2 linked regions of the Arabidopsis thaliana genome follow. The main gene of each other region encodes a partner of the protein of the gene in region 2 in a complex. Each region holds a gene or a part of one and is shown on either strand. Other genes may lie near its edges.

What was found.
Region 1: THO5 (region 2) and DWA1 share a complex: the UniProt entries of both Arabidopsis thaliana proteins name them as parts of the THO complex.

Annotation. Positions count from the first base shown.
Region 1 is NC_003071.7:8,409,127-8,425,547, reverse strand, and holds DWA1 (DWD (DDB1-binding WD40 protein) hypersensitive to ABA 1), read right to left. Parts: upstream 10,503-16,421; 5' UTR 10,332-10,502; coding exon 10,006-10,331; intron 9,919-10,005; coding exon 9,842-9,918; intron 9,761-9,841; coding exon 9,715-9,760; intron 9,588-9,714; coding exon 9,527-9,587; intron 9,439-9,526; coding exon 9,385-9,438; intron 9,295-9,384; coding exon 9,214-9,294; intron 9,123-9,213; coding exon 9,083-9,122; intron 8,811-9,082; coding exon 8,710-8,810; intron 8,538-8,709; coding exon 8,427-8,537; intron 8,171-8,426; coding exon 8,054-8,170; intron 7,898-8,053; coding exon 7,808-7,897; 3' UTR 7,554-7,807; downstream 1-7,553. Other genes in the region: AT2G19440 (O-Glycosyl hydrolases family 17 protein), read left to right, coding at 5,742-6,064, 6,204-6,703, 6,771-7,384; AT2G19420 (uncharacterized protein), read right to left, coding at 11,665-11,969, 13,216-13,326, 13,829-13,847. UniProt on the Arabidopsis thaliana protein: Acts as a component of the THO subcomplex of the TREX complex which is thought to couple mRNA transcription, processing and nuclear export.
Region 2 is NC_003070.9:17,144,144-17,159,405, reverse strand, and holds THO5 (THO complex, subunit 5), read right to left. Parts: upstream 6,511-15,262; 5' UTR 6,451-6,510; coding exon 5,968-6,450; intron 5,794-5,967; coding exon 5,457-5,793; intron 5,366-5,456; coding exon 5,073-5,365; intron 4,990-5,072; coding exon 4,744-4,989; 3' UTR 4,563-4,743; downstream 1-4,562. Other genes in the region: AT1G45229 (uncharacterized protein), read left to right, coding at 605-632, 3,803-3,969; AT1G45231 (S-adenosyl-L-methionine-dependent methyltransferases superfamily protein), read left to right, coding at 8,212-8,303, 8,389-8,428, 8,506-8,539, 8,639-8,703, 8,778-9,194, 9,306-9,427, 9,873-10,036, 10,128-10,359 and 4 more; AT1G45243 (Cysteine/Histidine-rich C1 domain family protein), read right to left, coding at 11,557-12,348. UniProt on the Arabidopsis thaliana protein: Acts as a component of the THO subcomplex of the TREX complex which is thought to couple mRNA transcription, processing and nuclear export.

The sequences.
Region 1 (16,421 bases), on a different chromosome or scaffold from region 2:
TTTTCTTAAACATCAAAATAGAATATGAAATGATTTGTTGGTATCAAAGATATGAAATGATTTAGTAGTAAGGATAAGTTGATTATTTGTAATAAAATAAAAATGTTTGGGACGACAAACAAAAAAAAAAGATCCGAATTTAATAAACTTTCCAAATTTCAAACATTCATTGAGCTTTTTCAACCGACATGATTTAATTAGGGAAGTACTTTAGATCCTGATAATGATGAAATTCCAAATCTTCTAATAATATACACAAATCTACTTTTTTGGTATCTATAATATCTATTTTCCGGTTTGTAAAGTATAGAAACATAATGGAAATTAATACTCATCCGACTTATAGTTTGATTCAATCCGACTTATAGTTTGATTCAGTCATGGTTTTTGACTGGCAATTTTTTGTCAAGACATATATACAAGATATATATATATATATATATATATATTTATTTATGTAGCACATAAAGAATTACATTATCTTCTAAGTGATTGATTTGGAGATACGATATTTTAAAAAATCACATTATCTTCTATTTGATTCTCACATCGGTCTATGAATACGGTTTTGATTATGCTCGAGTATTTGATGTGTACTCCTACATTTTTAAGATTAACAATACATATTTTTTTAAGTTTAACAATACATATGCTTAAACAACAGACAAATCAAAAATTTTCTTTAGTATAATTTATAACTAAAATACATTTTTTCGACATCAATAGCTATTTTAAGTCAACTCCCCCTATTGTAGTAAAATCTGTGGGGTTTTCACACAATCAATCATGTGAAGATTTGAATGTTATACAAAAGGAATATTAAACTTTGAAATAAATAAAACCAAATGGAACGGGAAGAATGGGTCGTGAGCGTGACACTGTTTACTGTCAGTAAAAGCAATGCCATGCATTGGTCCTCTCAAGCTTTCCCCCTGACTCCTTCGCAAATTTTTAGCATATCTTAGGCATTAATTTTGAAGTTTACATATAGAAAAATATATATATATCTTCTACCAAATTTATTTTGCTAGTACCAGAATATGATTCTCTTTTCGATAATTTTTTTCTTCTTCAGATTTTCGTAGTTTATATTATAAAGAGGATAAATTCAATTACATGGTCATGTGATGTAACTAAATATTTTAAGCAGGAAGTAGTAAGTGGAATATTAATCTAGAAGATTGTCACATAACAAAACAAATGACCCTGAAGGTAAGTTTTAACTTAAGCTCATCGAGATTTACGCTAGAGAAAGTGAGAAACAACCAATTTGCGAAATGGTTTGAAAGGTTTCTATATATATATATATATATATGTATAGAGAGATCTTCTGTGTTTTGAATAATTAATCAACTCATAATCATTTGAAATAAACGAAGACAGTAGAGAAGATTGAAACTTTGGGAGATGATCGAATGACTACGTTTTCCTTTTATGAGACGATAAAGCCTTATCACAAGCCGTCGTGCCAAGCATTATAAACAAATGTACAATATACCAGATTGTGTGTTCATCGGAATTGTGTGGTATAGAGAGAGAATATACAATTATATATTTCCCTTAAGATCTTTCTAAATGAAAGATTACTAACCATGGAAGTGAGATTGTCTTTTTTCGTTTGTTCAATTTATATGGTTTCTCTAGTTTATGACTTGGTTATATAAAAAATATGATTCACTGTTAACCCTCAAACGTATCAAGTTCCCGAGGTTCTTCATCTTGTTACTTGTATACTGTATTATTGGATAAAACTCTTCCTCCTGTTTAATTTACACCAACATTTCTATAGTCGGTTTTTCTTTGTATTTTTTAAAAAGAAAATCCTAAATTAGAAAAATATCAGAAAACTTTATAAGTCTTTTTCTGTGTTGCAATTTCCATGACGTTATTACTAGTAAGAGATCATAATTTTCAAATGAAAACCCAACACAGTTATATATTTCCAGACATTTTTCTGAAACTTTCAGAATCATTATTGGTAGATGCATAGGTGTAAAGATTTTAGAGATTTCAGAGTTAGATATTTAAACTTTTTTTGTGGATTAACAAATATGCATGGATTGTTTTAACCAAATATCATGATTGGTTGTCACTAATTGTAATAGATTTATATCAAAATTTATTTTACCAAAATTCTATGTATAAGATATATTTTACCAAATTCTCTGTATAAGAGATATTGTATATTTATGCTTTTTTAGAAATGATTACAATATTTTGTTTTTCCTAGCTGTCCTAATTAACATATCATATTCTCCAGTTTTAGGTATGTTTTAATTTGTTTATAAGGATGATTCTTTCTACATGACCATTTTGTATAGAGTATCAATCAATTATTTCAATTCAGAATAATGTTTTTTGTCGAGAATAGGTGAGAGAAATTTTACTGGCATTTGCAATTTCCCTTCTAATATCCTATTTTGTATATTTTATCCATGGTTATGTCTCACGAAATTTGGGTTGTGACATGATTTGCATAATAATCTTTGCTACACATGAGATTTGCTAAAAGAAAAATCAAAGGTTGTTGTTGTTTTGATCGTTGGGTTTGGGTTTGTGTTTTTTTGTTGTTTCATAAATTTGTAAAATTTTTTGGATATGCATAGTACTAGATATTAACCCGCGGGCCTATATTTTTATTAAATAAAAAATAATTGAATATTTTTTATGATGATTTAATAAATTTATGCTATTGTTTGATTTAAATGTATAATTCACCGCGAGAAGAAATTTTATAACTCAAATTTTAAAGTTTTAAGTTGTATTTGTTTATTTTGTTAAATGTTTAATATTTTATAATTGTATTTTGATTGTTGTTTCTCGGATTTCACCCGTAGTACACCATCCCATATTAATATCGAATCAAACCCGTCAATTCTAAGATTTCACCCGTGGTAGTATTTAATTGTATAATTATATTTTAATTGTCATTCTAGGATTTCACTCCTAATTCTATCGCAAATTATTATCAACCCAAACCAGTCAATTCTAAAATATCACCCGTAGTACACCATCCCATATTGATATCAAATCAAGCCCGTCAATTCTAGGATTTCACCCGTGATAGTATTTAGTTGTATAATTATATTTTAATTGTCATTCTAGGATTTCACTCCTAATTCTATCGCAAATTATTATCAACCCAAACCAGTCAATTCTAAAATATCACCCGTAGTACACTATCCCATATTAATATCGATTCAAACTCGTCAATTCTAGGATTTCACTCGTGGTAGTATTTAATTGTATAATTATATTTTAATTGTCATTCTAGGATTTAACTCCTAGTTCTATCGTAAATTCTTATCAACCTAAACAGTCAATTCTAAAATTTCACCCGTAGTATAAAGTTTAAATATTTATAATGTTTAAATTTCTAATATAAGAATCAAAATTTTTTTAAAAAAAATTAAAGTTTTAAGTTTTTTTTTTAATATTGTTAATTTTGTTTAGTGTTTAAGATTATATAATTATATTATGATTGTTATTATATGTTTTTTCCATAGCATACTATCCCATGTTATTATCCACTCAAATCCGTCACACCATATAACCCCGTCCCGTGAAATTAAACACAAATTTGTCATTTTATTATAAATTTCAAATATTTATAAAATTAGAAACTTTCAAAATGATTAATATTGATCCAAATTTCATCATTGAATTTTGAGTGTTATATCTAAGATTTCTCTAGCAGTATATCGTCCCGTATTAATATCTTTTATATTGTTTAAATTTCTTGTAATATTTAATTTATAATTTTTTAAACTTTTTAACGTTTCAATTTTTTAAAATAAATAACCCTAGTAAACAAACCATTTTAATTTTGGACACCTCATAAATCAAGTTTCATGCTCATTCGTAATCGAAATCATTTTGGTCCTTTTTATAGTATGGCTCTTGACCATTGTCCAATTTTTTTAAGCGATGTGGAACATTCTAAAATCGTAATTATTATCCACCCAAACCCGTCCTACCATATAACCCAGTCCCGTAAAATTAAACATAATTTTGTCATTTTCTTATAAATTTCAATATTATAAAATTTGAAACTTAAAAAAATACAATATCGACCCAAAATTCATCATTGAATTTTGATTGTTATATTTAAGATTTTTCCTGTAATATATCGTCTCGTATTAATATATTTTTTATATATTTATAATATTTAAATTTCTTGTAAAATTCAATTTATAATTTTAAAAACTTATACTTTAAAACTTTATAAGTTTTAAAATTATAAATATTTCAAGCATTTTTTAAAGATAAACTTTATAAAAAGATTTTAAAATTATAATATTTAACTTTTGATAAAGTTATAATATTTATAATTTCTTGAAATATTTTAAAGTTTCAATTCTTTAAAATAAAAAATCCGAGTAAAATCGGATAACTATTTTAATTTTGGACGCCTGATAAATCAAGCTTTCTGCTCATTCGTAATCAGAATCATTTTGGTCCTTTTATAATATGGGTCTGAACCATTGTCCAATTTTTCTAAGCGATGTGGGACATTGTACATATATTATTTCTTCATAGGTTGAATAATATATGTCCGTTTTAAAAAATTTAAATTACATCATATTCAGAAAAATATAATATTTTATTAACTATATATATTTTATATAAATTCAAAATAAATAAAGTATAAGATCAAATAAAAATGAAAGAAGATTTATATATTTATGTTTAAATTAGGTAGAAATATTTTAGGAAATTAGTTAAGGTAAATAAAAAATATGGTTAGTTTAGAGATATTGTTTATATTAAATTTGGTAAGTAAATCATTAATTTTCGTTTTTAATTATTAGGTTTTAGGTAACTTTTCCAAAAATTAATGTTATCCAAGATCAGAACAGAATTAAACATGTTATCCAGGATCCGAACAGAGTTAAACCGGGTAAAACCCACCCATTTGAATTAATTGTTGAATTATGGTTCAAATCTTCAACATTATCTTCAAAAATCCCCTCCAAAAATGTATATATAGATTAAGAAAGTTGTGCTTCATGAGTAAAAACATAGAATTTCATATCTTAATATTAAGATATATTTGTTAGAATTAGAGAATTTATAATAACTAAACTATTTGAATAATTTTTTTTTTGAATAGAATTTAAAAGCTTACAACCCAATAACAATGTATTTTACTAAAACTTTAAAAGAATCCATGAATTATTGACAATAAAATCTGAAAATTAGAAAAATTCATCTACCAATAACCACTCTAAAACATTTGTCAAACATAAAACACATTGGGTCATTATTTACTGACCATAAAAACAATACAATAAAATTCTAAAAGTGCAATGTTTACTTAAAACTTTTAATTTGGGCTTTTACCAAATACTTCCAAGTTCCAAGAACCAATCACAAAGCATATTATTCACCGTCAAGCTCAATCAGAGAAAGATCAAAGCTTAAAACTTTTTTTCCGGAAAAGTTAAAGAGAGAAAAAAGAATCAATCTTTTTGCTTGACGATTGTTACTCTCAGTGGAAAGGTCTAGTCCCCATTCTCATTTTTTTTTGTTAAAAATCGTATCTTTGGCTTTATTTTTGGTTATCTCGTAGATTTTGCGTGAAAAGCTTTGAACTTTATGATGTTTTGATTGACCTCCATTTAGGAAAATGTAAATATCTTCAATTTCTGGGGTTTAAGTGAGATTTTACGAGTGTTCAAGTTAAGGGTTTGAATTTGGGTGAAAACACCTGGTAAGCCATTTCATTGTTTCTCAGGACGATGAATCTGTTGGCCTTCGTCGTTGGATTTGGAATCATGGGTATTGTTATGGTAGATGGGCTAGGTGTCAACTGGGGAACAATGGCTACACATAAGCTTCCACCAAAGAAAGTGGTTCAAATGCTTAAGGACAATAACATTAACAAAGTTAAGCTTTTTGATGCGGATGAGACCACTATGAGTGCACTTTCTGGCTCTGGTCTTGAAGTTATGGTTGCTATTCCTAATGATCAGCTTAAGGTTATGGGAAGTTATGACCGAGCTAAAGATTGGGTTCATAAGAATGTCACTCGTTATAACTTCAATGGTGGTGTCAATATCACGTTAGTGAGTTTCTCCCTCTGCTTGTTATATATTGGTTCTAATGTGTTCGGTTGTGAAATCAATTCTCTGAAAATGTTAATCTGGTAAGAACATTGTCAAAATGTTTATATGTCTAATCTCTTGTGGATGTGTTTTCAGGTTTGTAGCTGTTGGAAATGAGCCATTCCTCAAATCATACAATGGATCATTTATAAACCTCACATTCCCTGCACTTCAAAACATCCAAAACGCTTTGAATGAAGCTGGACTAGGAAGCTCCGTCAAAGCGACAGTCCCTTTAAACGCGGATGTCTACGATTCACCATCAAGCAACCCTGTGCCATCTGCAGGAAGATTCCGTCCTGATATCATCGGTCAAATGACTCAGATTGTTGACTTTCTTGGCAATAACAGTGCACCCATCACCATTAACATCTACCCTTTCTTAAGCCTCTATGGGAATGATGATTTTCCACTCAATTACGCCTTCTTTGATGGTGCTAAACCAGTAGATGACAATGGTATTGCTTACACAAACGTTTTCGATGCCAATTTCGACACTTTGGTATCGGCTTTGAAAGCTGTTGGTCATGGAGATATGCCAATCATCGTTGGAGAAGTCGGTTGGCCAACAGAGGGTGACAAACACGCAAATAGTGGTAAGACATCTAACATTTTCCAGTTCTTTAGATGCAATGAAATGTTTTGAAAACGTATTTTTCGCAGGCAGTGCTTACAGATTCTACAACGGTCTTTTACCAAGGCTTGGGGAAAACAGAGGCACTCCACTGAGACCAACCTACATTGAGGTATACTTGTTTGGATTACTTGATGAGGATGCGAAAAGTATAGCACCGGGAGAGTTTGAACGCCACTGGGGAATATTCAAATTCGACGGGCAACCAAAGTTTCCTATAGATCTATCAGGTCAAGGACAGAACAAGTTGTTGATTGGTGCCGAGAACGTGACGTATCAACCTAAGAAGTGGTGTATGTTTAATACAGAAGCCAAAGATTTGACAAAACTCGCTGCTAACATAGATTACGCCTGCACTTTTTCGGATTGCACTGCGCTTGGTTACGGGTCTTCTTGCAATACTCTTGATGCAAATGGGAACGCTTCATATGCGTTTAACATGTATTTTCAAGTAAAGAACCAGGATGAGGATGCTTGTATCTTCCAAGGTTTGGCCACCATTACCACAAAGAATATATCTCAGGGACAATGCAATTTCCCTATTCAGATTGTTGCTTCCACAGCTTCTTCATTTTCTTCTTCTTTGGTTTTGTTGATCGCTGGAGTTTGGTTTCTCTTATCAGGAGTGATGTTTGAGGTTTAGATTAGTGATGTTTTTGAGGACTTATTTTTGTGGATATGGAAACTATATGTTTTGTCCATGTATTAAATTGCATAATATGGTAAAATTTTACTTGGAAGAGTGAGAATCATTTAGTTATGGATCCAAATATTTGATCAATGGTGGTCATAAGAAAACAGGACTCGCAAAAAATTGAAACTCTAACGGCAGTTAATGTACGTGATCAGACTAAACCGGTCCAATGTCATTTTAATGGTTCAAATTTGATAGCAACTACGGAACCACAAACCAATTACACTTAACCAAACAACTAATTGGTCTTTAGTCAGGAGCAAGATCCTAAGAAAAACAAAGAAAAGGTTTCTTAACCTCTGCAATAATCTGACTGACACATTTCGGTACCTCTTTAGGGTATCGAGCCAAATCAAGAAACTGTAAGGAGTTTTACAATGAACTGCTACGAAATGTGCAGAGATGGCTTCCAAATTGAGAGATGACATCAACAATACCTCCATAACCTCCCACAGCAACTACCTGCAAATACAAAAGAATTGGATCAACGGTTAAACATTGAGTTTCTAGTCCAGAAGGGGTAACATATTTGCAGAATATTAGCAGTAACATAGGAAATGGGAGAAAAGCAAACACATATATAGGAAATGGGGAGAAAAGAAGGGATTGGAAACATACTCCTGCTGGATGCAAGGAAATGGAAAATACTGAACAAGGAGCACAGTGAATTTGAGAAAGCAAAGCTCCATTTAAGTCGAAACGTCTTAGAAGTGGTTCTGCTCCTACAGTCAAAATCTGATAGTGCGATACTTGTTAAAGACAACATTTTTAAAAAGATGTTTAAACTTTAGCACAGGAATTAAAACTAGGTGTTGACCTCTGTTTCTAGTTTAGAAAAGTCAGTAATTTTTTTAATAAACTTCGTTGAAGAGGGATGATTCAAAGAGATACTACATAAACCTATTAAGCCTTGATAAACAAATAACACCCACGGCCTCCCAAGGCTTTAAATTACACTGCTTAAATTTCAATCTAATCTTGTTCTGCTTACTTGCTTTTCATCAAACATCACATCCTGTACATGTGCAGGGATGGGTATTGTTTGTACGCATTCTGAGGCGGGAAGATTCCATAAAGCTAAATTTTTGCCCTGTCCACAAACCTGAAAGAGGAGAAAATCATACCAATAACAGTAAATACATGTTCAGTATTTAAACTTCTAAGTGATTCTTCAGGAGAAAGGAACTATATTCTTAGGTTACTGGAGGCAACAATCCCTTCAAACAAATAGCAGGTTGCGAAAATGTTAGATTATCTAGTTGCTTAGTTCTTACCAACCAGCTTTCACTCCCATCAAGGGCCATAGAACTAACGCGAAGGCGGGACTTTTTATCCTGGGAACCAATTACTTTAACACATTTTCCCGTTTTGCAATCTGGTTGACAAAACAGAAAGAAGCCCTTGAGCGAACAAAGCTTAGTCTAGACAACTAAAGTAAACCACATGAACCAAAACATAACATAGTGGAAAGTTCTGTAATCACCAAAATGAATCATCATAGAGTTGTAAGAAGCAGCCAACAAAACTGAGGAGCATTGGATCTTAAGTACCAACATGAAGACTCAAATGATTTCAAAAGTTCTATAACCACGTATGACCTAATACTAGAAATTACAGCATAAAGAAATATGGTCGGGAGCATGTTACCCCAGATTCTCGCAGTCCCATCCTCTGAACCCGTCAATATCTGGAGAAAGAGACTACAATCAGACAAAAATCCAAATGTGGAACTCAGATTTGGATAGGTGCATTTCTAATATTTATGGTAACATCATTACCTGACTTGCAGAACTACGAGAAACTACAGTATGCAAATAGTCTGAATGACCTTTAAAGGTCATTTTAATCTTACCACTCTCCTGAAATTGTTGGATACACATAAATGATTTTAGAAAGTTAAGATATCTGGATTCACATAGGACATACATCTATCATGGTCAAATACATACCACGTCCCAACAATATGCGCAAGAATCACCAGCTGCTGTAAATACACTTCCTGACTATCAAAACGAAAGAAGTGAGAGAGGGTGAAACAGTTATCCTGTGAGACTGTCTAACCAAGCAATGAAATTTAAATACAATTCCAACCTGAGGATCAACAGACATGGCATTGATCTCAGGCATCGGTGAAAGCGCACCCCAAGGACCTCTATAAGAAAAAGAATGGTGATTATACACACAACTATTACGAACACTGACATTTGAACCCACAATTATAGCATTTTCAGTAACAGAGTTATCAAGTAGAATAAAAAATGAACAAAACTCATACTCACTTGTGTTGTGGATTAATCAGTTCAAGCAATGGCTTCAGATGATTCTCTGTAGATCATAAGAAAAACAACCACTAAGCTCCAAAAAGCATCATTCATATCAAAAACCACAAAAATGGCACACACACACCTTTCAAATGAAGAGACACATCTGATTCAGCAAATTCTCTCCATTTCCATCCCCTAACTCTACCATCATCACCACAACTACACATAACCAGATCAAAATTTCAAACTCTCAATTACAATTCATCAAAGACTCATCAATCAACAAAGAGAGATTTAAGTCTCTACCTAAGTAGCAAAGCATCTTCGTCTTCACCATAGAACTTAACATCATAAGCAGGACCTTCGTGTGCCCTAACCACTCTCTCAGGTTCAGCCACCATAACATCTTGACCTTTCGAGTAGCCAAAACTCGCCGATTGAGACACAAGCGAGTTCAGTGAATGGAAAGCTAAAGTTCCATCGCTGGAGGCTACAACAAATGCGTCTGGATTAGAGATTCTCGCCGGAGGAGCCCAGGCGGTTCTGAAGACGGTGCGTGTCTCTATCTCTCGCTCCTTCAAAATTGATTCTCTATACTCATCTTCATTCCAGTTTGTAGCGTCTCCGTACATGGTCCTCTGCTTCTTTGCAATTCCCGGTGATACTTGCGAAACGCCAGCGATATTACCACCAGTGGTTTAGTGCAATTGACGACTGAGAGAAAGCAATCCCTAAACCGGCCGATTTAGTAATTCTGTTAATTATATTTTACTAGCTTGTTTTTTTTTTGTCGATCAAATTACTAGCTTGCTTAAATAGACGAATTGAAGAAATAAATTTAATTTTGTATCGATAATATTTGAATTCTAAATAGTAATATATACATATTTTGTAATATTTAATTTAGTAATTTTATTTAAAAACAAAATTTTAATTTTATACATTTCATTTTAATAGAAAAATAGGTAAAAAAACTCTCACATTTTTTAAAAACATGAAAAAAAATCTTACCTTTTTAAAAATAGTAAATTAACACCTAGGATATCTTATTCAAACTAACATATCCTATGTTATTCAATTATGAATTTTTAAAAGTATCATGAAATCTAATGCTATTGAATTACTGATTTTAAAATCTCCTTAAAAATCTTCTGTTATTGAAAACATTTTAAAGATTGGATTTTAGTGACTTTAAGAGACTTAAGTGGATTTTCTTAGTTAAAAATATATAATTTTAAATCTCATGGTTTTAGGTGGAATTTGAGAGGATTTTACCATAAATCATAACAACCTCCTTAAATTCATCCAAATTCTTTAAAAAATCAAAATTATATAAAAACTCAAATAACTTAAAATATAAGATCGAATACACCTCCTTAGATTCTAGTGTTATTCAATTTTTGATGATTTTAATGCAAGTGTTATTCATTTTTCTGTCAAAACCAACATTTCATTCAAATCACCAAACCGAAAGTATCAAAGGATAAACCTCCAATGTAATTGAAAAACTCAATTAATTTTGAATGCAGTATGAGTAGAGAATTTCACTTCCTCCGCGGAGATCTGTCTATTCGTTTTAGAGATTCCATAGAATTCAAGATTCAGATGCTCTATTTCGTGTTTAATGTTAATAGCACAATATGATGAAGACAAATCAATTCAAAATTTTTTGTTCCACTTCTTTTGGTCTTCCGTCTCTTCAAATTTTGACCCATATATCTCCTCATCTATATCTACCAAGAAAAAATCATAAAGAAGACTCTGTGCGTTTTTGTTACAATTAAAATCTCCACCTTTCTTTTTGGCACTTCCAGCTTTCATAAATCTCACATCTAGGGCTACATAAATCTCATTCGCAAATACTGATTCGGAAAAAAAATTGAATTCATCCAAAACAAATGAAGCCGTCCTAGACCATCTGTAAGCATCAACTTCTTAGTACTATTCACTAGAGCATATTTGTCCTCACCCAAACATAAGTTTGCCAACTTCTCGGAGATAAAAACTGACATGCATCGTTTGCAACTCATCTCGAAAAGAATCTGGTAGATTAATCAACATGAGAGATTTTTTCGGTAGTGGTATTATGTAACCGCCATCATCAAAACCCAAGCTGGTAAGTACGTCTTCATCAGAAAATTCAGGGTCCATTAATTGTTCCTTTGTTGGTTTAGGTTTCTTATTCTTTGCTGGTGCGATCTTTGGACGATAAACATTTATTCTAATACGTTTTTTACCTCGACTTTTCTTCGTCATACCAGTATTCCAAACTGTGAAGTACATAATGGCTGTTAAAAGCTAGAAAAATTGCAGTATAGGTAATGACTAATGGACCATGTAGTTTATGGTCGGCTGATTGATGAATACACATGTAAATTTTGGTATGATTGAATAAACGTTGACGTTTCTAGAAACGTATTTAGGGGGACCGCTTATGTAGTGCTTGCGTGAGACACAAACACATATGAACAAGGGAATGTGGAAGGAGAATCAAATCAAATCAAATGCCAAAACAATATTAAAAACGTATTTCGAAGATGTTCATAATTCGTTGTCCTTGCATCTTTTGTCTTTATTTAATTAACTCCAAAACCTTTAGTAATATTCGCTTTTACTTCCATTTTAATATCAATTCCTCTAGCTTACGTTTCGGTTTTACATTCGCCCTTACAAAGATTACTTTTTATTCCTTTGGTTTTTGATTGGAGGATCAATGAATGTTCTAGCTAGAGATCTTAAGTTTGGGAATCTTTCACATAGATCTAGACCTATGTTATGTATACTTAATTGTTCAAGTGGTCGTTTACGCATGCAATGACCAAACAAATAGTTTATTTCGTTTTAAGTGGGATCTCTCACTCTCAAAATTTTGTTAAGAGTCCAATTTTATTGGTTTGTACGTATATTATAGACATGTGTTATGTATATATAATTGAAAAGAGAGAATCTTGTTGCTCAAATTGACAGGAAATAAGAGTTTAATCCGGCGGAATCTTTCTATAAATTAAACGTAGCTAGTGGTCAGTGGATGATGATGATGAAATCTATGCATGCATCATCATATATAGACCCTAGCAATCCTTATATATAGACCCTAAAATCAGACAAACTGTTTCATATCATATCATCATATCATATAGTAATTTTAGGGACCGAGGCTAATATAACATCAAAATCATATGCATGCAAGAAGATGAAGCAAGTCAACTAAAGGAGGTAAGGGAATAGCAATAACGAAGGCGACAGAAGAGAGTGAGCACACATGGCTCTTTTTCTAGCATGCTCATGCTCGAAAGCTCTGCGTGCTTACTCTCTTCTTGTCTCCTGCTCTCTCCCTCTCTACGTCTATTTATCTATCTATCTATGGACTATGTGTATATAAATTAAATATATTTTATATCCACATATATATATATATATGCATCATGCATGCATGGCAGCAAACGTCTCTGTGTATGGTTAGATAGATATGACCATATCTTGTCTATCCACCTTTTGTTTTCACTAATGTTTTACCTAACGACACACAAATATCATTTTCAATCTTTACAGTAAAATAGCGTAAGTCGCCATATCCGTTGTAAATTGCCAAATAGCCGTTGTAAAGCTCAGAGTCGTACGTTTTTTCTATCAAATTACAAACACTAATCACATCAATATATATAACATAATAAAGGCTACAAAATGATCTAATTTTTGTACAAATGATGAGCTTTGAGTTACAAAGAGGAGCAAGGCACTTTAACAAAGAAAAAAATTAAGGAGCAAGACATAAGGAAGGTTTATCATCATGAGAATGAGAAGATTTCACGCATGATCGCAAAGGAACAAAGCGTGCGTATCAAGTTGCGGATAAGGGTTTGATGCCGGTCATCGGATGACCTTTAGTATTTTAAAGAGCTACATAGAAGAATTGAGAAATAGTTACTGATTTTTCGTCCTAGCAAATCTTGTTGTGGACAGAAATATATTCTTAAGTAAAAAAGTACTTTTCTTTCTCCCTTTATCTATGTTTTATCTATTTTTGTTCTTTTACCATTTCCATTATATTTATGTATCTATATTTTTTTTGTCCCCCACATTTATGCATATATCTAAAATCTACCAATAACAGTACTGTTTGAATTACTTGGTACCTTTTCATGCATGATCCATCGTCTAAGTAGCAAAAATAACAATGAACAACTGTTATCAATTAAAGCTGTTTTCTTTTTATGAACAAAAAAAATAAAAATCTAGCTCTATTATATATTTGGCTAGAAATAGAAATATATGTATGAATTGATCAATAAATCTTTAAGAAATCAATAATGACTAATATATTAGATGATTCATGAACTACTTGTCCAGAATCAGAAACTAAGTGATGGTGGTTATTTCTTTTCTTTTTTCCCTTTTTTCGTGTGTGGTATATGTGTTTTTCGTTTGATGTTATGATATTTTATGTAGTGTGTACATAATTTTGGACCTAGAATTCACATGACGTCTACATGATGCTCTAAACTTTCTATATGTAGGCTTCGCTCCAATTAAATATAAATTGTATACTAATAAACACCCAAAAACAGCTTGGGCTAAAATAAAAAAATATGATATCGTTTTCTTGACATCAAATTAAAAGTTTTGTTTGATTTGTTTCCGTTTACATTTGCATATTTAATGTTTTAAGAAATACAAAAAAATTCCGAAAGTATTATGTATATATAGCTTAGATCTACATATATGGAACAATTAACCAAAGATGGACCTCTAGCCAATATTGATCGTCTTCTATCATTTACACGTAGTGAGAGTATATATGTATTAATGTATGCTGTATTAGAATGTGTTAATAATTCTATGTAGTTAAAAAAAAAAAAGAAGTTATTTCAGTAATGTCATTGGTAACGTCTCTTTCTTCTATACGAAAGATCGATCTAAGTCTGCTGTAAATTACTGTTCGACTATATAGATTGGACTAATCATATTTATATTTGTGTGTGTATAAGAACATTGGAGAGTCGACAATCGTTAAGATCTTTAATTAGTTTAATTATGTCGTTCTCGTAAACGATCAGTGCATTATTAGTGTTTTTTTTTTATATATAATTCTTAATTATTCGGGTATATCCTCATTTGTGCTGAGCAAAAAATTAATGAAAAATCATTTAGACTGTTTTGGTCAACTTTTGGTTACATATTAGAAAACAATTGCAAACATCATTACTCAGCCAAATCAAACCGGTTTGATCGGAAATTTGGATCTGTACGTTACCGTATCAGATGATCAAATCCTAAACAACTATTATGTGCAAGAAATCGTGGAAATTCAAGACAATGTATTAAAAAAAAATTATAAAGAATTTTAATATATAGGTTGGTCTGCGACAAAAAATACTGAATAATTTCATATTTTAACCGGAACAAAATGTGACTTATCTCACAAGGCCACAACAATCTCATGCCTTTTACTAAAAGATTCAGATTGTTGCGACCACATACCACTTCAAGATTAATCTAGTACCGTAACTAAGTAATGTCATTTGTTTTTTGTTATGTCATTGTTTGCACAGAAGAAAAAACTAAATTATGTCATCTTCTGATAGAAAATGACTACTTTATTTATTCTGAAAGCTTACTGAGCTAAGTTATTTTGCTAGAACCTGTTCTAAAAAAGTCGAGGCATTTCGAATTGTTTGTTGACACGGACAAAGTCAGGGAAAAATTCAAATAAATTCAAAATTACTTCATACATAATTATTTTGCAACAAATACATAGGTTATAAGTTAGTAGGTTACATTATATTGATCACATTGCCCACATTGGTACAACTGGTCATAGTATATGATACATATTATACAACTGACAGACATAAAAATCTCTATCTAAACCGTTCAAATATCATGTAGATAGAACTAGAAAACTTCAGATAATAAAGCTGCACACTAATTATAATTAACAAATTGGCCGTCCAAAAAAATTCGAATTTGAAAAGTATTAAATGGAATATATATTCCTTTGAAGGCGATTTCCATCCCATCGATTTCTTCCTAATGTTGGCCAAACATATTTTACTATTAATTATATATCCAGGACTGCAAGATCCATATCGGTGATTACCAACAAAATTCAAAACAGATCAAATTATATCTTTTGTTTGTTCCTAAAGTCAATAGACTGATTTTATATAATCCAATCCTATGAGTCTACTTCGTATTCTCTTATATTTTTTAAGCTATGTATTTATAAACTAATACGAAAAATTTTATATTGTACTGCACTATATCACTTAAGTAAACAACATTGTTTAGAAATAATTCTTTTGAGATTTAATAATTAATAGTGGTCCATAAAAAAATAGCATTTATAAACTAATTTTAGAACGGACTATCAAAATATTATTACGCCTACACTACAATCACTTAGTTTTTGATGTTGTTATTTTGTTTATACTTTAGACTTAGAGTGTTAATTAAAGCATTTCTACAATCAAACTCATATATTTTGTTTGTTCAAGTTTATATTAAAACATATCTTAGGACTTTAATTATTGATTAAACAAACCAAAGCAACAAATAGACCGAAAGACGACCAATCATTGTTCGGCTACTAATCAAATTTTTTTTTTTTTACATTTTTAAACACTTGGTCCTAAACGACTCTTATATATATATATATAAAGAGATCAATACAATATAGTCGTGATCAGAGTAATATCCATCTCTGGAATAGCATTTCCCCA
Region 2 (15,262 bases):
GTTCCAAGAGCTGAAGTCAGAAACATAATCGTCAGACTACATATCCAACTCTTGCTACCTTTCTGTGGAAATGGTAAGGATCTGGTCCCCTTTGTTTGTTAAAATGTTAACGAGAAACTTGTGGCGTCTCTATTCTACTCCTGCTAAATGCAAGGGACGTCATTATTGTTCAATTGCTGAAGCTCAATGACTAATGACAGAGACGTTGTCAAAATTGAGCAAAGGTATTTGACGGCCTGTCAACAATTGTTACTTTTATCAGAATGTAGTCTGTGACAAATCAGAAACTATAGACCTGGCACATTAATATATGCAACTGTTCTGAGCTGCTATTTCCTAGAAAAAAAGAGTCAATGGGGCATTCCGAGAATCGAACTCGGGACCTCTCGCACCCAAAGCGAGAATCATACCACTAGACCAAATGCCCTGTTGTTGATATAAATCATTCAATGCACAACTCTTGTTAAAACTTGGATACCAGTCTAAGGCTGTTTTTTTTTTTTTTTTTTCATTTCCTGCAAGTGTCTCTTGAAGAAACTGGTAGCGTTCAGCTAGTGGCGTTCTTTGTTCATTCCGTTATCGGGAAACTGATTTTTTCTGCATAATGCGAGTCACTGGACGTCAAAGGAAAGGTACAGTGAGATTCTCATTCTATTTGTTAAACTCTAGTACCAAACAGACGTAATGGGAAATAGTTGTCTCATGTTACCTTGCTGAAAATTGAAGGTAAATGCAATAAAGAACATGTTTGTGCCACGATAGTTCTCAGCTAGTATTTAGATCAGACATCCAAAAAAGTCAACGGGGCATTCCGAGAATCGAACTCGGGACCTCTCGCACCCAAAGCGAGAATCATACCACTAGACCAAATGCCCTGTTGCTAAGCAATTTAGTTTAAACATTGAAGATCACCATATTTGGTCATACTGTGGTCTCTTGCTCTAAGTTGACTTTTACTTAATAATTTAGTTTTGATAGGATATTCCAAGATCTATATTCTATGTGATCTCTTTCAGTTCAGTACAATGGTTTGCAATGTACGCTGTATGGAAATAGACTAGAAATATATTGATCTGCGGAAAAATCATTAGATGTGGATAGTCTTTGCATCCTACATTTTTAATTCATCATGATCTCTTTTTATCTTATTGTTAGACTTGATCATGCTGCTACTATACCAAGTTCTTGATTATTGACTACCTTAGGCAATACGCAAATAATTTTGGTGAAGCTTTAGGTAGATACACATAGTCGAAATGCTGAATGTGATGTAACACAAATCAGGCACCAATTACAAATTTACATGCAAGAATTCTGACCAGAATAAATACATGTGCTTTTGAAGATTGTTTAAAAAGGTTTCAATTTGCTGCTCGGCCTGTTCTTGATTCTCAAATTCCTGCAAAAAAAATTGTCATTGAAATTTACGTGTCATACTTTCCCTATTGATGTGGTTCGGTTTTGGCGAATTTAGCGGTTCAAAGCTAGTTTAAGTACTATCTCATGTTTTCAGATTGAATCTGCGGTTGAAGAGATCAAAGTCAATGGATGTGAAAGCAAAATTTTGGTGTTAGTCTCAAAAATCGTCAAGAACTGAAGTCATGATACCTTTCAGTTAAAATGATAAGGATCTGGTCTTTTGTTTGTTTAAATGTTTATCTGCAACTACTGGCGTCTCTAATCTACTCTTGCTAAAATGCAAGGGGTCTTTAATGTTCAATTGCTGAAGTTCCTTGATTAATTTCAGAGACGTTGTCAGACATGAGTAAAGGTACGTGACAGTTAATTTATTCTTTGGTTTGCCTTGGAACACTTGATATTGAAAGTCTTAGTGAAATAGGGTGTTGTTAAAGACTTTCTGTGTGTTTGTTGATCTGACCAATGAAATAACAAACACGAAAGGGTAGATTGATATTTGATAGTTATAACAATTTTCAGCAAGATTTTAAAACAAAAGTTTCTGAAGAAGTCAACGGGGCATTCTGAGAATTGAACTCGGGACCTCTCGCACCTTAAGCGAAAATCAAACCACTAGACCAAATGCCCTGTTTTATATCTTGTTTTGTTGATGCATTCCATTTACACTCTCTCATTTGTTGAAGAGGAATTGTTGCTTCTTGGTTGGATGTAGTCACAATCCATTTCCTTTTCTTTCTGCAGCTCACTCTTTGTGAATCCTGCTGCTTCCAATATGTGTCGGTCCTCCCTAGATGAAGTTTACTGGTTATGAAGATTTATTGATTGGACTTAAAACCTCGGTATGTTTTTCTAGTATGCAGAAGGCACTTAATAATGAAAGTTTGGGGGAGTTTTTGTTAATGATTTCTCTTGCTGACTAAAAGTGAAATATATGTTCCTCAGTTTTTGAAGGACTAAGGAAAATTGATCTCTAAGCAAAATTTCAGGTAGAAATTAGAACGTATAGTTTGGAAGAGTAGATGTGGCATTCCAATTATAGATATTGGAACCTCTCGAAGCCAAAGCAGGAATTATACCACTAGATGATGCTGTCGTGAATCTTTTTGTTTAGGGGTTTATACTTGATGAAGCTGGAACCATACATTTGCGTAAATCTGTTATTAAATGTTATTTTGTTAAGTAGAAATGAAACGCTGTAGATCTAATTCTGTTAGTTGACTGAATTTAAGCATTTAGTGCAAAGGTGGATTGTATGTTACTATTATTCAATCCTGATGAAATTTAGACCAATGTACTCAAAAATGCAGTGGGGCATTCCGAGAATCGAACTCGGGACCTCTCGCACCCAAAGCGAGAATCATACCACTAGACCAAATGCCCTGTTGTTTTGTATACAATTGAAGCATTATACCTGCAGTACTACAAGCATAATATTGAGATCTGTTTGAATCTACTGTATGAGTTTAGTGTGATTCTTCGTTGCTTTTGTAAGTCAGATTTCCTGCTGAATCTAATGCAATATCTATAAATGAAATTCGATAGGAGTTAACTTCATGCCGTAAAATCATGCATCTTGCATTTCTCTTGTTGTAAGCTCTATGCCAAAGGTTTTCTGTTGTATGTCAAGCTATCTATTCCTTTTATCAAGTGACAGAGAGATGCATAAGCATAACTATCCTTTTCTGGAGAGTGTTACTTTCTTATCTGCCCTTGGTTCTCTAATGCAGCATCTCTCTAGTGTAATTTCTGTCACAGGAATTCTTACTGACAAAAAACACCTTTTCCTGAGGAAGTGGAAGATGCGTTTAATGCACCCTTGAATATGTTCCTCCCATTTCCTTGTCAAAGGTAGTTGTGTTTTTATTTCCTCTGAAAGCATCAGTACCTTAAACGTACTTGTCCAGGATGATAAATGGATATCTCAGGAGAGACTAGAGCGGTGAAAAGTATTTGATCCAATTCTTTAGCTTGCGTTCAGGAGATAAGGATTAGTTATTGTATTATAGTTGCCGGAATCTGATCAGAGCCACATCTGTTATTTATCAAAATACCATCTGCTTTCATTGAGCAGGGCCTATGTTATTTGTATCCAACAATTTTCGTTTGTAAACTGGCCAAGTTGGCATTCCGTGAATCAAACTCGGGGTTCTCTCGCACTGTCATTTATATCTTGTTAGGTTAATGCATTTTATTTGGGTTTCAACCAGCTCCGAAATTTTTTTGTCGACCTGGTTTAGTCGCTCAAAGTGTAGTAAGTTTCCTAGTGAACTGAATTTAATTTATATGTGATATGTTCATGGCCGACCATTGGAATGTACCTGAGGTGGCTCAGTGGTTAAAGAAGTTCATGTAATGTTTTTAGTACTCTTGTTTTGCTTTGTAGGCTATATGGTGGAGCTTGAAGCTGAAGTTGCAAAGATAGAAAGAAGAGAGGAAAAGTTACTAAGGAAGCCGGTAATGACCGACCACAAAGACATCTGCTCATATGTTACATTCATCTCTGTTAGTTTTAGAGTGTATCTCTTCTCGTGTTTTGCAGGCAATATGTAGGAATTACAGAAGAATCAGGTAGCTCTTATTCCATCTTACACTATTTTTCTACCATACAAAACTTTATTTAAACGGCTTATGCGACTTAAACCTGTCGTAGTTTCTACTGGTGGAAATTACCTGCAACCTGAGAATTGAATCCTCCCCATTTAGAATGTCTTTGGGTAAAGATCTGCTCGTAATGAGTTCATAGATCTATGATTTAAGCTTTGTTTGACACCAAGAAATCCGCTCTTACCCTCTAAAGTGCACTTTGTTTGACACCAAAACTGCTCTCACCAATCTTATTGTACGCAACTTCAACGCTTACAGCTTATTAACTCCATCGTTTTTTGGTGGGTTTATACAACAGGAGATGGAGATAATGAATCTTCAAGGAAGCCAACATAAAAGCTGTGGAAGATACTGTCAAATATAGATCATGCTCATACTTGGTTTCTATAGATAAATCATTCTAATTATAATGTTTAGTTGAACTGTGTTCTCATCTTTTATCAAATTGTAACCTCTCTCTCTATACATATATACAGGATCATCAGAATCTCTTTGCTTAGATATTGCTAAAGCTTAACCTAGACGCAGATGTCAAAGTCACTCTTCTCATTATGTTTGTTTCATCATAAACATGAAGGACAACTCTTTGAGATGATGAATTTGATATAGTCCTCCCTCATCATTATGTTTGTTTCAGATACCAAGAACTAACTGACTTACAAATATGAAAAACTTCTACTACTGTCAAAAGATGGGAAAAAACATACTGAGTGGTGTGACTCACACAAGCGTTAGCTTAGTCTTTTTCTGGGACCGTATTCTTTGCAGAACGGTTTGCACATTGCGGTGATCAGAAGCAGAAGCATAGCCTTTAGCTGTATCACTATATTGAATATCCTTGTCAGTAAAAAATGGTGACATTTCAGGTAAAGTCTCAATCCCCGCCAAATGTTGTGCCCACTTATATGGCCTCGAAGTTCTGCTTTTATCAAACACATGATCGTTGCCAAGAATGAGCTTGGCTGACTGTATAACCGTAAAGGAAGTGAGTATGACTGTTTTCAAGCAAACATATGTGAATGAATATCAAAAAGGAAAACCACATGTACCTGATGAGGAGGCTCAAGTCCAGAATCGTCTGGAAATAAGTTACATAGTATATTTTTCTCAAGTCCATCCTCAGACTCTTCAATGCCAACACATACAACATTCAACTTCAACAAGTACTCAAACTTGAGCATGACAAGTTCATGAGATTTCGGATCTGTAATCTCGTCATCATAAACATGAAGGACAACTTTAAGAGGATGAACTTGATATACTCCTCCCTCATCAGAACCCACTTTCTTGAGTCGTTTCCTTTGCCTTTCTTCATCAACACCAACCTCTAATCTTAGACTCTCTGTATTATTGAACATACATGTCATTTTAACGAGCACATAACTATTCCATTTTCAATTCTTATTTTAACTAAAGGTGTGAGAATTGCTAACCTGAGTTCTGTTCTGCTTGCTGCCGCGCATAAGTTTGAGCATCCTTAAGACTCCCAGATACCTCAACATCGATATTCTCTTCGAAAGCTTCCTTCAGTGCCATGAACTGCGAATATATAACATAAAGCGGCGGAGGAAGAAGCTCAGCTAGATTATGATACTTCAGCTTCTTCTGATTCTGCAAACTCAACTGGCTCTGTACTGGCAAAGATGCTTTCTTTAGAGATTTGAGATGCACTGGAAGACTTGACAGAAACTTGTTCCTCTCCGCATTACTTTCAAGTAAACTCTTCTTCTGTTGCTCCAACCTCACTCTAAGCTTGCATAGCTCTTTCCTCTGTGTATAACAAACTTAAACATTCAATCACTTTTGAATAAAAACTCCAACAATATCTAACACATGAACTTGGTCTAACGATTCGAGACAGAGATGTATAAAGCTTAACATTGAATCACATTGAATCAAGCTACTACAAGACCTTAAAGACATGAACTTTGAAATGAAATTTACCTGATGAAGCTCAAAATTGAGTCTTTTAAGCATCAAATCATGAGAACTATCATTTGATAACGTTTGAGATTTGATTGCTTCGGGAGCATCACTGAAGAAGTCTTGTTCGGATATGAGATCGATGTTTGGATACCTAGATTTGAAATCTCTACTAGCTTTATTAGCTTTGAGGTAATGACTCTTCTCATACATGAGATTGTGAAGCTCCAACGTCGTGAAATCCACCGGAGATTTTGCTATTTCCGTTTCTGTTCTCACTTTCTCTTCTTCTATAAGAATCGAGCGATTCGCTTGACGAAGATTGATGAAGTTGAGAAACATCTGAGTGAGGAGTTCTCGATTCTCGGATTTAGGGGTTCCTTGTTGCTTGATGGAGAGCATCTTTGCTATGATTGCTTCGACGGAGGCTTTGGTTTGTTGAAGTAGCTCTAGTGGTGATTTCTCCGCCGTGGCCACCGTGTCTATCGCCATCTCCGATTGCATAATTTACTTCCTCTGATCTCGCCGAGCTCGGAGAGAGGGTTTTAAAAGGGGAAAAATGTCAACAAAAAAAAAAGCCTGAGCTTTCAAATTTGGATAGAAAAGGCATGAACTTTGAAAATGTCATATTAATTATGAAGTTTTGATTGACTTCTCAGAAAAAAAGCTAACTTTCGTTGACTGGCCCGTTAAAGACATGCCGTTAAATTTCCGTTAACAGAATAATAACAGAGTTATCATTTCGTTAGAAACCCAAAACGACGTCGTTTTAAAATTTAAAATTAAACAGAAAAAATGACTACCACCTGAGCTCAAACATGAGACATGAGAATACTTTTACAAACATCCAAACCATTTAGACAAAATAACATCTTCGTATCAAATAACAAAAGTTTATATTTAATATTACATAATTAACAGAAACTAACAAAACTCTATTGTTGCGTGCCATAGCTTTGTATTTTTCTCAAGTTCACAAAACCCAATCGCATTTCAATTTTTATGTTGATTGTGAGATTTGCGATTCAGATCTGTGTTATCTTCGTCGAACATGAGCTTTAGATTGTGATCTAATGGATCTATATGTATTTTTTCTCAATTCCCTCAATTTTGAAACCAAATTATTAAAAAGGTTTGAGAAGATGAACAAAATTACAGTTTTGATACCTAAGAGCTGGTTAATGCTCAAACCACAACAAAGATCAATAAAACAAAAATCGCTCACTCCGATATCTGTCTAATGGAACGAAACCAAAACGCCGATGGAATCCTGTTTACGGAGAGAACTCCGATTCTAGGGATAGAGGAGATGAATGAGAAGACGAATAGTTGAGTATATATATACATTAGTGTTTGTCACTTTGACAAAATGTAATTGTGGGTCAATGGTTTATAATCTCGTAATGAGTTTCTCATGGTAACGGTTCCAATCTTGGCAAGGTTCATTTTTTCTGTTTAATTTTAAAATTTAAAACGACGTCGTTTTAAATTTCTAACGGAGTGATAACTCTGTTAACGAAAATTTAACGGCAAGCCTTTAACGGCTCGGTCAACGAAACTTAGCTATTTTTTTTGAGAAATTAACTAAAACTTCATGATTAATACGACATTTACAAAGTTCATGCTTTTTTCATCCCAAATTTGAAAGTTCAGGCTTTTTTTTGATATTTTTACCGTTTTCTTAGAACTAAGCCGGTCCGGTTTGGTTCGAAATTTTGATATTTCAATGTTCGGTTTGAAATCAACTTCACCTCATCAGACCGAAATTTGGTTCAGTTTATGGTATAAATAGTGCCGATTTGTAATCGAGTCGGTTATTAATTTAACAATTTCGGTTTAATTTGGTACATTTTTGATGGTTTTTAAAATAAATTTTCGTTAATTTTAGTTTGATAGTTCCAAACCGAACATAATCAAACCAATTAATTTTGATTGATTTTAGTTTTATAGTGCTGATTTTGGAATGGAAACCAAATTCGGTTCAGTTTCTGTTAAATTTGGTATGTTTAGGTACATTTCGGTCAACTTTAAAATAAAATTTCGATAATTTCGGTTTGGTAGTTCCGAACCGGACCGTTTATCAAAATCTATGCTTCTTCTTGCCGATATCTAATTAACCAATCCAAATCAAACTAGACAAATTTCGGTTTGGCTCGGTTTATATACCAAACGACAAAAACTACTAAAAACGGCGTCGGTTCAAATACCAAATTCCCATATAAGAAGAGGGGTCTATGGGGGGTTTTGATTCATACTCCTGAAAGAATGGGAAAGGTCAGAGGCGAAGTAGAAGAAGCAGAAGGTGAAGCTATTGAAGCTCTGGGTTCTCTCTTCAAGCTTACTCAAATCCATCTATGGTAATAAATAATCCTTTTTGACTTTTAAAAAATAAGATTAAGCTCTTTTGTTGACTTCTGATTCTCCTCTGTTTCAATTCCTCAGGGTCGATACAGATACTCCTCTCTTCCATCAACACAGTGGTGTAAGTGTGTTCTTTATAACTCTGTATTATGTTTCTGTGATTTCGATTCCAATTTTGGTTCTTTTTGTTGAATGCAGAACAAGAGTGTTGATGATACTTATGGAATTGCCAGTACGTCTTTACTTTTTAGGTTATATCTTCAAAGTTTTGATTTTTTAACTTTTTTCTGCTAAAGAACTTGAAAGTTGTTGAATTTGAATTTTGTTATAGACAATGGATTGATGAAAGAGATGAATGATCTTGGTCTTCCGGTTTCCTTTCGAACAAACAAGCAGGTACCTTTTCTTATCAACATTCATGGGTTTTAGTTAGTTTATTACATTCTCTGAGAATTCAACAACTTGTGTAGTGGAAGAACAGAACTAGAGGCTATCAAAAGAAAGGATTCAAGGATCGATTAGACGAAGAGGTTAATGTTATTCTCAAAGTAGAAGACACTTTGAATTTGGTGTCTGCTTTGAATGAGGAGGTTGAGAGTCCGTGTTTTGAGGAAGATTGTGTACAAGTAATTGAAGTGGAAGAAGAAAATCATGAAGTTGTTGTGGGGAGCTGTTTTTTGGGAAATGGAGATGGAGACTCAGTGTTGGCATCAGAGACAATAGATTCTCATGACTCTAGTGTATGGAAGGTCTACTGGGATTCGTTCTATGGACGAAGTTATTTTTACAATTTTAAGACACAAGAGTCAAAATGGGAGCCGCCACTTGGGATGGAGCATCTAGCTTATAGCGATGAAAGTCACAACTTGAGTGAATTGGTCATAGAGGTGATTGAGATTGATCTCTGCCTTTTCTATCTTTCTTGTCAAATTTTAGTTGATTTTGTTTATTTACTGTGTTATTGGTTCTTTTCTTTTTGGTATTAAACGACAACAAAGAAGCATCATGATGACTTGTCTGGAACTGTGCTTGGCGATGATGTTCCCTTTGACAAAGCTGACGATCTTGGTGGAGTTTGTCAAAGTCAACTTGAAGCAGAAGCCACAGAGGAAGTTAACAGGTATTAAAATTCAACAATATGTGGTTTTTCTTCCTTCTGGTTGTATTATAATGGCGTTAGGTTGTTGGACCCAAACTAAGTTAAACCAACTTTTAACAAAAGAATTAACAACCTTATCTTCTGCAATATAAATAGTCATTGATCAGAACTATGTTGATCTCATTAATATGTGTTAACTAAGCACTGATTAGCAACCTTGTGTGCCAATACTTGATATGACTACAAGCAGAGTTGTTTTGGCACAACTTTAAACGTTTAGAGTGTCTGTAATGGTCTTGTTTGAAGCTATTGATATAAAGCCGTATAACCTCGAACATTTAGCTATGTTACAATATTAAATGCCATAATTTTGAAACTACCGGTATGCTTAAAAAGTTTAACCTTTGATTTTCTGTGTTGTTGAGCCTCTTTAACAACAGTCTTCTAACATTTTTCTTGTTTCCAGTTTGATTGATACATACCAAGAAACTTCCATTGGAAATCAATCTTTGGATATTACTAGTCTTGGTGAAGAGGGAACCGGTGCATATGTTGTCAGTTCCGTTAGAAAGGCTAAGAAAGAGTCTAGAAGATCTCGAGCCAAAAAGAAATTACTCAATTCGTACACAGGTTTGCAACACTTATTGCATATATGTAGTTTTGAATTTTCACAGCTGCAGTTGTTCCGTCGTTAAAACCTTTTAGATTCTTCTGTAAACAGGGACTGAAATGAAAGGTGTTCCTGAAGAATATTCTCCAATCCTTGGCAAGTATTGGTGCCAAAGATACCTCCTCTTCTCCAGATTTGATGAAGGCATCAAGATGGATGAGGAAGGATGGTTTTCTGTCACTCCTGAACTTATAGCTAAACATCATGCCACACGCTGTAATGAAGGCATAGTCATTGACTGTTTTACAGGAGTTGGTGGAAATGCTATCCAGTTCGCATCAAGGTGAGTGGACATACACTTCTTGTACTGATGTTTTGTAGTTCTTAGTAGTAATTCACACGGTAGCAGGATCTAGTTTAACTAATGGAAGTAGCGTTTTGCACATTTTGGGCAATTTCCCTGACTTATTTTCTGCTGTGTTTTGCTTTTTTAGGAGTCACTATGTGATTGCAATTGATTTGGATCCAAAGAAACTTGATTTAGCAAAGCATAATGCTGCCATATATGGTGTTGCTGATAAAATCGACTTTGTGAAGGGAGACTTCTTTGACCTCGCACATAACTTGAAGGTTTTTTAATTCAACTCTTCTCAAATTTTCTGGTCATAGAGTAGCCATTGAAAAGAATTCAATTGTGCAGGCAGGCACTGTATTCCTATCGCCTCCTTGGGGAGGCCCTGATTATCTTAAAGCGAGCACGTATGATATGAAGACAATGTTGAGACCTCGTGACGGGTATGTCTCTCGTGTTGCAGAGATGCTCATATAACTCTTACTCTCTTTCCATGATAAGAAATATATCCTTACTGTTCTTGAATGATGCAGAGATGCTCTATTTAAGGCGGCCATGAACATTGCGTCAACAATCATTATGTTTCTTCCAAGAAATGTTGACATTAACCAACTAGCAGAGCTTGCCTTATCAACGTCTCCTCCATGGTCACTAGAGGCAAGTGTTTTTTTCTTATCACTTTCCTATATGGTCGATTATATATATGAGCATATTCTTTGGAATCTAGAAAGGAATTCCAAGAAATTGGATAGATTCTGATGCTTATTCATGATGACTTTCCATCAAATAAAACCGGTGATTTGTTTTCTGTTACATTGTTGAAAAAATTTGGTTATTTGCTTATCACAATGGAAACAAACCTTGCAAAATTTTCTTGTCTCTTAGTAACACTTGTTCTAATAGGCGAACTCAAATGTTTTCAGGTAGAAAAGAACTATTTAAATGGGAAGCTGAAGGCGGTAACAGCGTATTACGTCAGACAAGATGATTGTAAGAAGCTTAAAAGAAGACCACAGTAGGGAAAAGGTAGATGCAATCTGCGTTTGTGCTGGCTTGTTGAATCCAGGTGGATCAATATTGATTTATGATCATAGGCTATGCATTTGTATAGACAAAATGTGTTGTCTAAAGCAGTACAACAAAATACAATTGTTCAATTATATTTCTTACAACAAAGAGCAAAGTCCATCAGTTTCTACTAAGACAACGTGTGGAACAAAATCTAAATCCAAGCCGTATTAAAAATGTTTTGTATGGACATCGATTCTTGCAAAAGGAGCATATAGGTCGAGACATATGTTGATTGTTGGGCAGAACATCTACCTTTTTACCGTAGAAGATCCACGATGAAGCGGGCTTCATGTATAAGTCCCATCCAAGCAGACATATAATGTGTAGGGATACACAACAGTTCTCATCACAAGTATAAAACCGCTCTTTTGGATCTAATTTTCTCTCACAAACTTCACACCAATATGTCATGGTACTTGTTTCCTCTCCATAAGAAAGATTGAGCATATGCTTATCATGCTTGTACCTCACCTTTTGAGGTAAACTAACACATTCAAAACACAAAGAAAAGTCACACTCAAGGCAATTGAATGTTTCATTTGTGCGACAATAATTAAAATCTTTGCAAATCGAACAAATTCTCCGTTGCTCTCCTGGTTTGGATGTTAGGAATAAAGGATGCATATGACCTCCATTGACTAATGGCTCGGAAATTGTGGCGCACTGCACATGTAGCTGAAAATCACATCCTTCTTTACCACACTCATAGAAGAAACCAACTTTGCACAACCAAGAACAAACTGAACAATTATCCACAAGAAAGTCCACAACACCATCATATCCTCCCAACAAAGTGAGCATATGTGGATGTATCGGGTGATATAGTTTGCGAGAAAGTTTTGCATATGTTTCGTGTAGAATGAACTCACATTGCATACATGAGTAGAATTTACCATAATAGATTGGCATAATGCATGTTGAGAGACAATAATTCAGTAAGGAGTGATATGAGCTTGGACTCCGAATCTGAATCCATTTGAGTTGCCGAGAGAGATTGTTTTGGTTAATATGAGAATTTTGATTATGAATGCATTTGATATGTGTATGAATGCTAATGGTAATACAAATATGTATATATCAATAATTTTCCTCACATTTTTATTGATGGTGGCAAGCCGGCACGCCAGCTTATGCTCGACCCTAGGCCACTTTTGACATATGAAATTTAGTTCAACTCGCTACCGAGTTTGTTCTCATCATGCAAATTAATTTTATTGCAATTATGATTAGTCCAAATTTGTTTTTGGAAACCAAAATTATTTAAAATATTTTCTATATAAAGTAGAACATATTAAGAAAATATACTAAGATCATAAGTAATCTTAAATTCATTCATTTAAGCTCTTTGTTTTTTCTTGTGTGTTTTTTTTTCACTTACGAATAAAATTACAATGCAACCGTAAATAAAAACTTTATCCAATTAAATTAATGTTTAATAACTTAGATTTTTTTTTATAAACTTCAACACTCATTTTTTATTGGTTAATATATATACTAAATAGATTAAAAGTTTTTGATATATGTCAAAATCTATTTGATAAATTAACATATAATTGGGTTGTTTGGTTTTTGTTAGTTTTGTTGGATATACCCAAAAAAGTAGGAACTTGTTCAAATATGTTTTTGTTTTTGTATTTTGTCGATTTTTTTTTGTCTTTTTTCCTTTTGCTTTGTCAAGATAACTCTAAATTATAGATGTCAACAAAACTTATAAATAGTCAGATCCATAAATAAAGATTATAATGGAAAAAATCATTAGTATCGAAGATGAACGAGAATTAAGTATAGTTATATTTATGTAAAACGTTTAGGACAAGTTAATATTTAAAGTTTATTAGAGGGGTGTATTTAGTCTAGTATCTAGGATAATGTAAATTAAAGATGATAATACCTTAAGTGAAAATTGCATGGATTCATGGACATAATTAATTAAGTAATATTTGCCTCCAAATAATATATCGGCTGAGTTACTATAAAATACAAAAGTTGGTTTCTAGTCTTGGGTGTATTCAATCTAGTATTTTAAGTGATTTGTGTAAAATTCACAAATTATATACATTTGCTGAAAATATTAGTGAAGAATCCAATGTAGATGCGCAACGCTTTTATGATATGTTAGATGCTGCAAATCAACCAATCTAGGAGAGATGTAGAGAAGGGCTTTCTATGTTATCTTTCGCATCTAGGATGATGAAAATTAAAGTTGATAATACCTTAAGTGAAAATTGCATGGATTGATGGACATAATTAATTAAGTTATATTTGTCTCCAGATAATATATCGGCTGAGTTACAATAATATAAAAGTTGGTTTCTAGTCTTGGGTTAGCATCAGACATGATAGATGTATGCATTGCAGTTCCGCGGGAAGCCAAGATATCAGCCTATTGGGGGAAGAAACTACTACCAGTTTTGGGTTGGGAGTCTAATGAACTTTAGTGTAGGTTTTGAAAAAAGAAAAAGCGGATTTTAGTGTTAGGAGATTTTGATTTAAGGACTTTTGTGATAAAAGAGTAAAAAAATATTTTTCAAAGAAGTTAATTTTTTTTTGCTTGAAATGAACAAATAATAATTCTTTCTGTAATTACCTTGATTGGATTATAAAGTTAGCCGAATTTCAAAACATAGAAACATAAATAACAGTGTTCTTACGCTATTTTTACATTATAATTTTTGAATTATTTTGAATAAGTTCCTTTTTCTGTTTTTGAAATAAAAAAATGAATTTTTATTCATCTTACGACAGATTGCTTTAATTTATTTTTTTATTAAATTTAGTACATAAAAATAAATTTATGATAACGAAAATGTAACAAAGACAAAATATAAATATATTCGATCAAAATAGTATTAAAAACACACATATTTTAAGCAGTTTTAGAAATTGAGACACAGTGACTCCACACGTCATCCCTCTTCTTCAAGTATTGTGCTTCACGGCCAATTAAACTTCGTCTATCAGCAATATATTTAATGAGATTATCATGGCACATTTTTCCTTCTTGGACAAGGTCGTGGCAACAAGACTCAATGAGGGTTCCATTTCCAAAAACAACATAAATTATATTTAATGCACATTTAGGAGTGATTTTAACTAGACAAGTGTTCCATAATGATTTTGTTTCAGCTTCTTTGACAGAAAATACAGGAACAAACGCATACACCAAAGCTACAACAATGAATAGCGCAATAACATGGGAGCTTAGCTTAGCCATATTTTTTTGTATGCTTGGAATTTATCGACTTATTCTTAGTGTATGAAAAGAATGTAATGGACTATGTTTTTATTTATTTGATATTCTAGACATGAAGCTATGTAAATTATTTATAGGTGATTGAAAATCCAACGTAAGTAAAATAAATATTAGAAAATTAACTTCAGAAATAAATTAATTTTTTTAACCGCTTAATAAGTTAATAAACAAAATACGTTAAAATTTATCTTTTCAATCAATTTTTAGAAATATATATACAAAGTTAATGCAAGTAGTGATATCAACTTCAGCTTATAAACTTATGGATTAAAATTTAAAATTATATTCAAATTTGAAGCCAAATTATTAGAAATGAAGTTCAAAGTCTACATAGATAAGATGTTTTTGTAAAATAGCTACAAGGTTCAAATATTATGTACTCGAAATATATTTCATTATAGCGTTTAAAAGCCTTACTCATATTTTGTTTAATGATGTTAGCCATATTAGAGAGCAAATTTTGAACAATTGGTTTAATCAAAAAGTCTAATTAATGGGACTTGAATACGATATTTAAAAGAAAGGGATATGGTTTAGATCCATAACTAATAATTGTGCAAGACTTCCACC